Macaca fascicularis: one gene and its partners. Each later gene encodes a partner of the first gene's protein in a complex. Links are inferred from orthologs where the notes say so. Each region holds a gene or a part of one and is shown in the gene's direction. Other genes may lie near its edges.

Region 1 (3,748 bases):
GTTTTTAAAGCCGCGTTCCTGCCGTGGAAACAGTGGCCCTGAGGGTTAAGACACTGCCCAACACCGGCTGCGCCTGATAGACGCAGGTTCCGAATGCAGGCCCTCTCCAAAGTCTTGCCCACTGCTCCACAGTGCCTCAACAACCAACATTTCATCCTCAACCTCAAATCCATCTCTTCAGGGCCGCAAAAAAGCGTTACTTCCCAAAGGGCGTGTTCTCCAAGAACTGCATTTAGCATTTCAGATCAGAGTGAGCCGAACTCACTAGGATTACGACAAAAACCAGTGAGATTCAGATAACACCGTTACGTCGAAAGTTTTAATCCGTGACAGCGGAAATATTGCTTACGCCCTTAGGTAATTTCAAATGCACGTAAGAAGGCCGTGCCAGTCTCTGCTGGCGATGCAAAAGAAAGATGGGGCCGGCGGGGTCGTGGGGGGTGGGGGGACATGACATCATATCCCAGACACAACCTGACCTCGTTTAAAATAAATTCTGTATCCGACTCCCTTCGGTGCGTTTCACCGCCCCTAGTCTTGTCTGGCTACCCCCGAAGTCCTTTAAAAGGGGTTGAAATGGGTGTTGCAGAAGAGAGAATACTCAGGTAGAAACGGCCTGCGGCAGAGGCGCCCCCAAATCATGGAACCTGTTGGAAGAGTGAGGAAGGAACTCTGGGATCCTGAACATTCTCACGGGTGTAAAAAGACAAAGTAAAATCCCCATTAACCAAGTTGGGGAGAAGTCACATCCGTTACACAGCCTCTCCCAGACCGCACATTTACAACACCGGCCTGCCTCCAGTCCTTGGCTGCCTCACCTTGCTCCTCAGAGCGGGTTTCCCAAGACCCGCGCGCAGCCGGCCAGGCGCAAACTCAAGCCGCTGCTGGTTGCCAGGAGATACTGGTCCAACCATCTCCTCCAATCAGCGCGCATCTCTTTTCGTCCAATCACAGAGGCAGGAAGGGCCGTGGTGGGAGGTGAAAGGTCACACTCCTGTTTGGCGGCCATTTTTCTTGAAATTCAGCGGCTCGGGACCTGGGGTACCTGCTGTAGTCACGAGGGACAAGCGGCAGCCTGGTCGGCAGTGAGTAGCCTGCAATATTCGGCCGTGGTTACGATGGTAAGGAGAACGAGAACGGCGGGAGAAGCGGGGAGAAAGAGAAGGAGGGAGACCACCTCGCGGGGCCTAGTGGTTGCTTCGCGCGTTTCCCATTCATCCGCGTGAGGCGCCGCGCACCCGGTCGCCAGCTTCTTTCACTCTGCTTTTAGGATTTCTGAGGCGCGTGCTCCTCCCGATGCCTTTCTTTTTCTAGGAGTACCCGTGCCTTCTCCTCTTTGTTTGAATCCGGGCTTGGGATATTCTTGTTTGTGGCTACAGGGTCGGGGTAAAACTCAAAGAGAATTTGCACTTCCCACTTAACCACACTCCAAAATTCACTTTCATTGCATGAAAGTAATGATACGGCCATGCTCTAGTTTAACTCAGTTGGTTGGGGAAGACAGACAGTCAAAAAATAACAAATATGCAATTGCAAGTAATAAGTGCTAAGAAGAATGCAGACAGGAGGCTGTGAGGGTGCGCGTTAGACATTTAGAGGCTTAGTCAGAGATGGCCTCCCTAGGAGGTGGAATTTAACCTGAAGCCTAAGTGTCATGAAATAGACCCTTTAAAGAGCAGGAGGAGGAGTGTACCGAGCACAGGGAATAGGCGCATAAGACCTGCGGCCGGAAAGAAAGCTTGGTCAGTTGGAGAAATTGACAAAAAGGTACAGCCACTTGCAGGAAGAGTGGTTACGAGATGGTGTCGGAGGAGCAGGCGTTGGACAGGACCTCTTAGGCTGTATTGGGAGGTTTTGATTGTACTCCAAATCAATTGAAAATGATTGAGTTGGAAGCCATTGAATCATTTTAAGCAGAAATATGACAATTTGATGTGCACTTTAAAAAATCATGTTGCTGTGGTGGATAATAAATTGGAGAATGAAAACTGGAGACCCATTAGGTTATTGGAGTAATCGCCGTATCAAGTCACTCCGAATATGTTTATGTTAGAGGGGGTTAGTAGCCAAGTTTCTTAGTTCTGTTCTTTCTTTGACTGGTGAGTGAGCAGAAAAAGGCAAAAACCGAATTCACTGGAGATGTTAATGGTTTGCTGAACAAACTTTAAGTGATTTCTATAAGAGGCAGTGCTAGTGACAAAGTCATTTAGGACCTAGCCCTAGCTTCCACAGTTAAAGACTGTCAAGCGTCATCTGCCCTCTGCTTCCTTCTGTAGTCTTATATTTGGGACTTTGACTGACAATGCTGAATTGTATGTCCCCAAAATCACCTTGTTGCTTCACTCTTCCCTCCTTTTACATAAGTAGCTAGCCTTGCCTGGAACAGGATTTTTTCCCGCTCTGGAAATAAATTCTCATTCTTTAAAACTGAGGTTAACTTATTTCAGGCAACCTTTCCTTTTTTCCCTGGATTGCTTCGGTACCCTTGTGCCTAGTATATCTCCTCTTATTATGTTGCAATATGCAGTATAATTATTTGTATGTGAGGAGCCCCCCTCCCCATCTCCAACTTCTTGACAGGGACTCTGTTATTTATTTATGACAAGGTCTTGCTCTGTTCCCTAGTAGCCGGGACTACAGGTGTGCACCACCACATCTGACTATTTTTGGTAGAGAAGGTGGTCTCACTATGTTGCCTGGGCTGGTCTTGAAATTCTGGCCTCAAGTGATCCCCCTGCCTTGGCCTTCCAGAATGCTGGAATTACAGATATGAGCCACCCTTTCTGGCCCGCATTTTTTTTTTTTAAAGTGCCTTTATCTTTGTTTCTTTAGAGCTCAGAACAGTAAGTGATGTATGTAGTCGGTGTTATCTTAAGTGAATAGTGAGTATTTTGTTTTGATGGGTTAAAGGTGATACTGACTAACTGGATATTTAAATTTCCCTGGTACTCTCCAATAAATAAAAGTGAAAATTGTGTACTAAAATAATGAGTCAAGAGTTTTCTTCATTTGCATACCACAAAATATTGGTATTTAGTAGAAGAGAGTTGGTGGTGGGAGGAAAAATAATTAATTGGATCCTTTTTTGTTCTTTGTGCAGAGTTTACCCCTCAATCCCAAACCTTTCCTCAATGGACTAACAGGAAAGCCAGTGATGGTGAAACTTAAGTGGGGAATGGAGTACAAGGGCTATCTGGTATCTGTAGATGGCTACATGAACATGCAGGTAAGCTAAAGAGCTGTAAAGGTCATAACATTGCATTTAGTTTGCTTCACCTTATTGCTCAAAGGTTTAGTCTGACTAATAAGAATACATACAATTAAATTGACAAATGTACGGCAAAATTAAAAAATAAAGTCAAAGCCAGGGAGGATACTATGATATACTAGGTACAAGACATGGACTTAAACCAGAATTCAGCCACAGATTTTATTCCTAGTAGTTAAAGTAAGAAGAGCTCAGACATTTAATTCATAATAATACTGTAAGGGAAACACACTACTTTGCTGGAGAAAACAAAACATTTCTCATCATTTAGCCCTGAAAGAAAGTTTTCAAGTGAAATTCATGAGTCTTTTAATGAATGATGCTAAAGGCACAACACCAAAGTTATTGAGGAAATTCATTCCTTCAGGGGAAAGACACATCTGCCGAAGAAATTGAACTGACTGTATGTCTGTCAAATGAGTTTCTGTAAATGATTCAGCCATGTGTTTTGGTGGGGGTTTTTTTGTAATTAATTTTCTT
Region 2 (3,748 bases), on another chromosome or scaffold:
CATATAGGATAAAAAGATTATGGGGAGATGTGCTCTGCTACAAGGGTTTGTGATAAAGGATTAATTTTATTAATTACTATATTTTGCAAGAAGCAATATTATCTTTAAAGCAAAATTAGGAATGCCTGTATTCTCCAGTTATTAGGATATTAGGACACTCCCAAGTCTGGATCTGTTTAGTAAACATTATCTCTCTGTTCCCTTAACCGGAGACATCTAAAGGCTAGGAATATCTAACTTCCTAGGAATGCAGCCTGTCAAGTCCCAGCCTCATTTTCCTAACCTTCAGTGGAGTTGGTCTGGTTCGAACGCCTCTGACATATACCTCAAGTCAGAATTCAGTAAATTGCTGTGCTGTGTTGTGTTGTATTGTATTCTAAGATGGAGTTTCACTCTTGTTGCCCAGGCTGGAGTGCAATGGCGCGATCTCGGCTCACTGCAACCTCCACCTCCCGGGTTCAAGCGATTCTCCTGCCTCAGCCTCCTGAGTAGCTGGGATAACAGGCTCGTGCCACCGCAGCTAATTTCTGTATTTTTAGTAGAGACGGGGTTTCGCCATGTTGACCAGGCTGGTCTCGAATCCTGACTCAGGTGATCCGCCCGCCTCTGCCTCCCAAAGTGCTGGAATTACAGGCGTGAGCCACAGCGCCTGGCCTAAATTCCACACTTTAAACATGTAGTTTGTTGTATGTCAATTATACCTCAATGGAACAGTTCAAACAAGCAAACAAGTTCAAGGCAGGTCCTGAGGTTAGAGCTTTATTAGCTTCATGGTAAATCCGCTCCTACCGGGCATTTGCGTTTTCATGGTACCAAGAACCCTCTTAACAGTAGAATTAGGGCCGTCAAGGGGATGATTTGGGAATGTTGCCTAGTTTTCCTGCGCAGGATTGTCAGCCTCCAAGCCGCGGAGACTGTGGGAAACGACCTCGCGATGGTGGTTTCGAGGCACAAATCTGGGGCCGAATGACAGCTTCTTTTTCTTTTATTTTATTATTTCATTTTGAGACGGAGTTTCGCTCTTGTTGCCTAGGCTGGAGTGCAATGGCGCGATCTTGGCTCACTGCAACCTTCGCCTCCGCCTCCCGGGTTCAAGCGATTCTCCTGCCTCAGCCTCCCAAGTAGCTGGGATTACAGGCATGCGCCACAACGTCTGGCTAATTTTGTATTTTTTAGTAGAGATGTTGTTTCTCCATGTTGGTCATGCTGGTCTTGAACTCCCGACCTCAGGTGATCCACCCGCCTCGGCCTCCCAAAGTGCTGGGATTACAGGCGTGAGCCACCGCGCCCGGCCTGACAACTTTTATCCAGAAAACTGTCGCCAGTAAAGGTTCCTGTGTCAGTAAACTGTAAACGACGGTAGGCCCACAGAAGGTTCTCAGGGGCGGGGAAACCGCTACAGGAACAGCACCGCCCACAAATTTCCTGCAGCGTGATTTGTCCCCAGTGGCGACTCGTAGAGCGTTCGGTGCTCCCTACCAGCCCCTCTCCTGATTGGCCGTGTGCCGCGCGCTCGAGCGTGCCTGGCGCCTGCGCTGGAAGACTCTGCCGATAGTGGCTATGTCCGGCAGGTCTAAGCGGGAGTCTCGCGGTTCCACCCGCGGGAAGCGAGAGTCCGAGTCGCGGGGCAGCTCCGGTCGCGTCAAGCGGGAGCGAGATCGGGAGCGGGAGCCTGAGGCGGCAAGCTCCCGGGGCAGCCCTGTGCGCGTGAAGCGAGAGGTCGAGCCGGCGAGCGTGCGCGAGGCCCAGGCTTCTGTTGTCCCGTTTGTGCGGGTGAAGCGGGAGCGCGAGGTCGATGAGGACTCGGAGCCTGAGCGGGAGGTGCGAGGTGCGCGGGGCCGGGCCGGGCTAGGCGCGAGAGCCTCTTTTTTTCGCGTTCTTTTTTCTTGTCTCTCTAATCTTCCGCCAGGTCCCTGCGCCGCGTTTGGCGGGGGAGGGGTGGGGTTGGCGGGGCAGGGGTGGGGTTTGGGTGGGAGAAGAGGAGGGAACCAGACTCTATGGTTCTGCTGTTCGACTTGTTCTGAAGAAGACAGTATTCATCTCAACCGTATATTATTTATTTTTCTATTTTTCTTTTCTTTTCTTTTTTTTTTTTTTGAGGTGGAGTCTCACTGTGTCACCCAGGATGGAGTGCAGTGGCGCGATCTCGGCTCCTGCAACCTCTGCCTCCCGGGTTCGAACGATTATGCTACCTCAGCCTCCCAAATAGCTGGGATTACAGGCGCCCGACACCACGCCTGGCCAATTTTTTGTATTTTTAGTAGAGAAGGGGTTTCACCGTGTTAGCCAGGATGGTCTTGATCTCCTGACCTCGTGATCCTCCCGCCTCGGCCTCCCAAAGTACTGGGATTACAGGCGTGAGCCACCGTGCCTGGCCAACCGTATGGTATTTCTAACTATAACAGTCATAACAATAGCAGTTTCCCTTCATCGAATGCCTGATGTGGGGGCTCAGTGCTGATTTTACAAGTGTTACTTCCTTCCATTTTAAAAAAGAATTTTTTTTTTTTCTTTTTAAAATAGAAGCAAGTCTTGTTATGTTGCCTAGGCTGGTCTCGAACTCCTGGGCTCAAGTTTTCCACTCGCCTCGGCCTCCCAAAGTGCTGGGATTACAGGCGTGAGCCACTGTGCACGGCTTTCCTTCAGTTTTTACAAAACCTCTAAGGTCTTGTAATTTCTGTAATCAAGATATTCAGAATGCCTGAGCAATAGGCACCTGCTCTAAAATATGAATTATGTAGCGCTTTTTAAGCTGAATAAAGTCTGGAGACAATTCTCCATTAGTCTCTTGAGTTTGTGCACATACTGCGATCATTGCCTGACTGCCTTTGCTCCTAGACTCTCCTTAAGGATGTTCGTGTAGTGGGCAGCCTTGGAAGATAGCAGTGGTGTCTCCCTACAAAACAAGGAGGAGACAAGGGCACAATCCATTATAAAAGATTTGGAGCAGGGTGTGGTGGCTCACACTTGTAATCGCAGCTACTCTATAGGATGAGGTGGAGTTCAAGACTAGGATAGGCAACAGAGTGAGACCTCGTTTAAAAAAATGGTTAATGGTTCAGATTCTCTAAGCTCAGGGTTACTCTCCTGTAAGGCAACTCACTGTGTGCATGGGTTCTCCTCACTTTGCCTTGTAGAAATTCACTTGGGAAACTGATATCAAGGCTATATTCTGGCTACTGTCATTGCTGTAATAAATTGCCCTTCATTTCAGGCCAGGTAGTGACATGCTTTCCATCAGCATTTGTAAAACTGTGACAGGCTAACTTGTTAGCTTGCAAGTAGGGTAAGATCTGAGACCCCCTTAAGTTTTTGACAAGTGGTAGATTTATAGATACACATGTACATTCTTCTTTTTTTTTTTTTTGAGACAGTTTCACTCTTGTTGTCCAGGCTGGAGTGCAATGGCACGATTTCAGCTCACTGCAACCTCCGCCTCCCGGGTTCAAGCGATTCTCCTGTCTCAGCCTCCCAAGCAGCTGGGATTACAGGCGCATGCCACCACACCTGGCTAATTTTTGTATTTTTAGTAGAAACGGAGTTTCATTATATTAGTCAGGCTGGCCTCGAACTCCTGACCTCAGGTGAGCTGCCTGCATCTGCCTCCCAGAGTGCTGGGATTACAGGCATGAGCCACCCACCCCAGCCACTCTTTAAACTATGTAGTACATTGGTGACTGGGCTCGGTGGCTCACACCTGTAATCCCAGCACTTTGGGAGGCTGAGGCAGGTGGATCACGAGGTCAGG
Region 3 (3,281 bases), on another chromosome or scaffold:
GTGGTGGGCACCTGTAATTCCAGCTACTTGGGTGGCTGAGGCACGAGAATCGCTTGAACCCGGGAGGCAGACGTTGCAGTGAGCCAAGATCGCGCCACTGCACTGCAACCTGGGTGACAGCGAGACTCCGTCTCAAAGGGAAAAAAAAAAAAGACTTTTGGGATGAATGAGAACGCGACAGACCCCAGCTGTGAGCCTTCAAAAAGCCCTCAGAGGGCAGAGCCAGAGAGGCTGAAAGGAATACAGTGGAAGATACTGGGTGGGTCCCAGCACTGGTGGCACGGAGCACCCCAGGGTGGTGCAGGCAGGCACAGCCCACATACCCTGCTGGTGAGAGACAGGACCTAACCCCCGCTGCATCGAACATGCACCCCCCCAGCCACGCAGGGACATGATCCTGAGCCCACCGAGTCTGACCACCCCCAAGGCCACCAGACAAGTGTCCACAGATGTCACGTCTACAATGGGGCAGACCTGCGCTCTGACCTGCAAGTGGTTCTCTCTGGCTGATTTCTAACACAGTGAAGGAAACTAGAAGCAGAATTAAACTCAGATACGAGGAAAGTAAAAGAACCATCCCGAGGCAAGCTCCTCCTGGAAATTTTTTTTTTTTTTTTTTTTTTTTGAGGCGGAGTCTCGCTCTGTCGCCCAGGCTGGAGTGCAGTGGCGCGATCTCGGCTCACTGCAAGCTCCGCCTCCCGGGTTCCCGCCATTCTCCTGCCTCAGCCTCCCGAGTAGCTGGGACTACAGGCGCCGCCACCACGCCCGGCTAATTTTTTTGTATTTTTAGTGGAGACGGGGTTTCATTGTGTTAGCCAGGATGGTCTCGATCTCCTGACCTCGTGATCCGCCCGTCTCGGCCTCCCAAAGTGCTGGGATTACAGGCTTGAGCCACCATGCCCGGCTTTTTTTTTTTTTTTGAGACAGAGTCTCGCTCTGCCGCCCAGGCTGGAGTGCAGTGGCGTGATCTTGGCTCACTGCAAGCTCTGCCTCCTGGGTTTACGCCATTCTCCTGCCTCAGCCTCCCGAGTAGCTGGGACTACAGGCGCCCGCCACCTCGCCCGGCTAGTTTTTTTGTATTTTTTAGTAGAGACGGGGTTTCACTGTGTCAGCCAGGATGGTCTCGATCTCCTGACCTCGTGATCCGCCTGTCTCGGCCTCCCAAAGTGCTGGGATTACAGGCTTGAGCCACCGCGCCCGGCCGGAAATTTTTTTTTTTAAGACGGCGACTCGCTCTGTCACCCAGGCTGGAGTGCAGTGGTGCCATCTCAACTCACTGCAACCTCTGCCTCCAGGGTTCACGCTATTGCCCCAGCTGTTCTTCAACTCCTGGACTCAAGCGGTCTTCCTGCCTCGGCCTGCCAAAGTGCTGGGATTACAGGCGTGAGCCACTGTGTCTGGATGACCTGAGCATTTTCTTTGTCCATGTTTATGTTACCCACGTTTCTGAATCCCTTGATTTCTGCTCTGGCTTTGTTGCCTCCTTTCTCCTCAGTCCTTCGACAGGTCCCTTGATGGCACGGGGCTGGCTCTGGTTTTCCAGGTGTCACCTTGTCCCAGCCACCTCCCACAGACCTGCATGACCAGGCTGGCTCTGGGCACAGGGACTCCCTGACAGGCACTGGGCAGCAGCCGGGGCAGCAGGAGGACCTGGGGACAGCTGGAGGTCCGGGGTTCCCTGGGCAGCCTTGGGGAGCTGATGACCTGCCCTGGTGGGCAGCAGCAGGGAGCCCCATGCACCCACGTGTCCACGGAAGCCGCAGGTTCCCAGAGCCGACTGTAGAGGGTGGGCAGCTCCTGGTGTGCTCTCAGGCAGGCCAGATGCAGAAGGTGCCATGCTCTCCCTAACCATCCAACCCTCCTCCCCAGCTTCATCACGTTTCGCTCCTGTGCCTACCTGGATAAGAAGCACACCATCTTTGGACGGTAAGGGAAGCGGCTGTGTGAAGCCTGGGGGTCAGTGGGCTAGGTGGGGTCCTTCCCCACCTGAGGCCTCCTCGCTGCCTTCTCTGTGGACCTGAGCCATGTGCCGTGCTGGCTGTCACTGCTGGGGGTTGAGGCTATGCAGAGCTGGGACAGAGGGTGCTCCCTGTGCCAGGGAAGTCTGGCTCTCCAGACCCACCGGGCTCAGGAGAGGAGGAAACACCCCTGCGTGGCCTGGCCGCTGCCCTGTCTCAGACCTGATGGCGCGCCACTCACAAGCCTGGCCACGCCCAGCTCCCTTCACCCTCTAGTCCAGGGGTCTTTCCAGCATTGTGGGCCGCGTGGTCTCTTGACGCCCACCCAACTGTGTGGAAGCAGCACAAAACAAGGTGGATGCAGGTGATGTGGTTCTGGCCAAGTGGAACTCTGTTACCAAACCAGTGGGGACAGCACAAGCCACATTTGTGACTCCTATTTTTCCTGTGGGTGGGGAACCAAAAGAGAACCAGAAAAAAAACCCAGCTGGATATGCCCAGGGCCATGGTCTGCTGACCCCGCCCTTGCCACGCCCTCTCATCGCCTTCCTGGCTGCTGCCCGAGGACCACCAGGCCAGCCTCGGGGCTCTCAACCCCTCTTCCCACATGCCTTGGTGCCCGGCCCTGAGGGTGCCCTCCTTGAGCACATGCAGACCCGCCTCTGTCTCCCTGCTGCAGTGTTGTTGGGGGCTTTGACGTACTGACAGCCATGGAGAATGTGGAGAGTGACCCCAAAACTGACCGCCCTAAGGTCTGTGCCCAGGGAGGTGGGGCGTGGCGGCTGGGGGCCAGGCAGGCGGGGGGAGGACCTGCCGTGCACTGAGTCCCCTCTGCTGCTAGGAGGAGATCCGCATCGATGCCACTACAGTGTTCGTGGACCCCTATGAGGAGGCTGATGCCCAGGTGAGGGGGCACGATGCCACCACCAGGAGGGTCTGGGCCAGCGCACCTTCCCACCCCAAGCCTAGCATCTGTCCTGCCCGAGGTGCTGCTGGTCAGCCTCCACCCTCTTGTGCCACAGATCGCCCAGGAGCGGAAGACACAGCTCGAGGCAGCCCCGGAGACCAAAGTGAAGAGCAGCCAGCCCGAGGCAGGGAGCCAGGGCCCCCAGACCTTCCGCCAGGGCGTGGGCAAGTACATCAACCCAGCAGCCACGTGAGTGCCGCGCGGTTGGCCTCTCTGTTTCCCATGGTGTTTCCTAGGGCTGACTGAGGTCTGAGGGTCAGATCCAGAGGGGCAAGAAAGCCACGGGCACTGGACCTGGGCATGGGCTTGTGCTGTGTGGCCTCTGCAGCCGAGGGACTACCTCTGAAGGCCTGGCC

The links.
Region 2: SNRPF (region 1) and USP39 share a complex: the UniProt entries of both Homo sapiens proteins name them as parts of the U4/U6-U5 tri-snRNP complex. The link is inferred for Macaca fascicularis from reciprocal best matches to the Homo sapiens genes SNRPF and USP39.
Region 3: SNRPF (region 1) and PPIL2 share a complex: the UniProt entries of both Homo sapiens proteins name them as parts of the minor spliceosome. The link is inferred for Macaca fascicularis from reciprocal best matches to the Homo sapiens genes SNRPF and PPIL2.

Annotation. Positions count from the first base shown.
Region 1 is NC_088385.1:102,892,247-102,895,994, forward strand, and holds the start of SNRPF (small nuclear ribonucleoprotein F), read left to right. Parts: upstream 1-996; 5' UTR 997-1,118; coding exon 1,119-1,121; intron 1,122-3,100; coding exon 3,101-3,226; intron 3,227-3,635; coding exon of another isoform or gene 3,636-3,698; exon of another isoform or gene 3,699-3,748. UniProt on the Homo sapiens protein: Plays a role in pre-mRNA splicing as a core component of the spliceosomal U1, U2, U4 and U5 small nuclear ribonucleoproteins (snRNPs), the building blocks of the spliceosome.
Region 2 is NC_088387.1:35,971,142-35,974,889, reverse strand, and holds the start of USP39 (ubiquitin carboxyl-terminal hydrolase 39), read left to right. Parts: upstream 1-1,528; 5' UTR 1,529-1,560; coding exon 1,561-1,828; intron 1,829-3,748.
Region 3 is NC_088384.1:31,438,714-31,441,994, reverse strand, and holds part of PPIL2 (RING-type E3 ubiquitin-protein ligase PPIL2), read left to right. Parts: intron 1-1,869; coding exon 1,870-1,926; intron 1,927-2,637; coding exon 2,638-2,710; intron 2,711-2,799; coding exon 2,800-2,862; intron 2,863-2,980; coding exon 2,981-3,114; intron 3,115-3,281. UniProt on the Homo sapiens protein: Has a ubiquitin-protein ligase activity acting as an E3 ubiquitin protein ligase or as an ubiquitin-ubiquitin ligase promoting elongation of ubiquitin chains on substrates.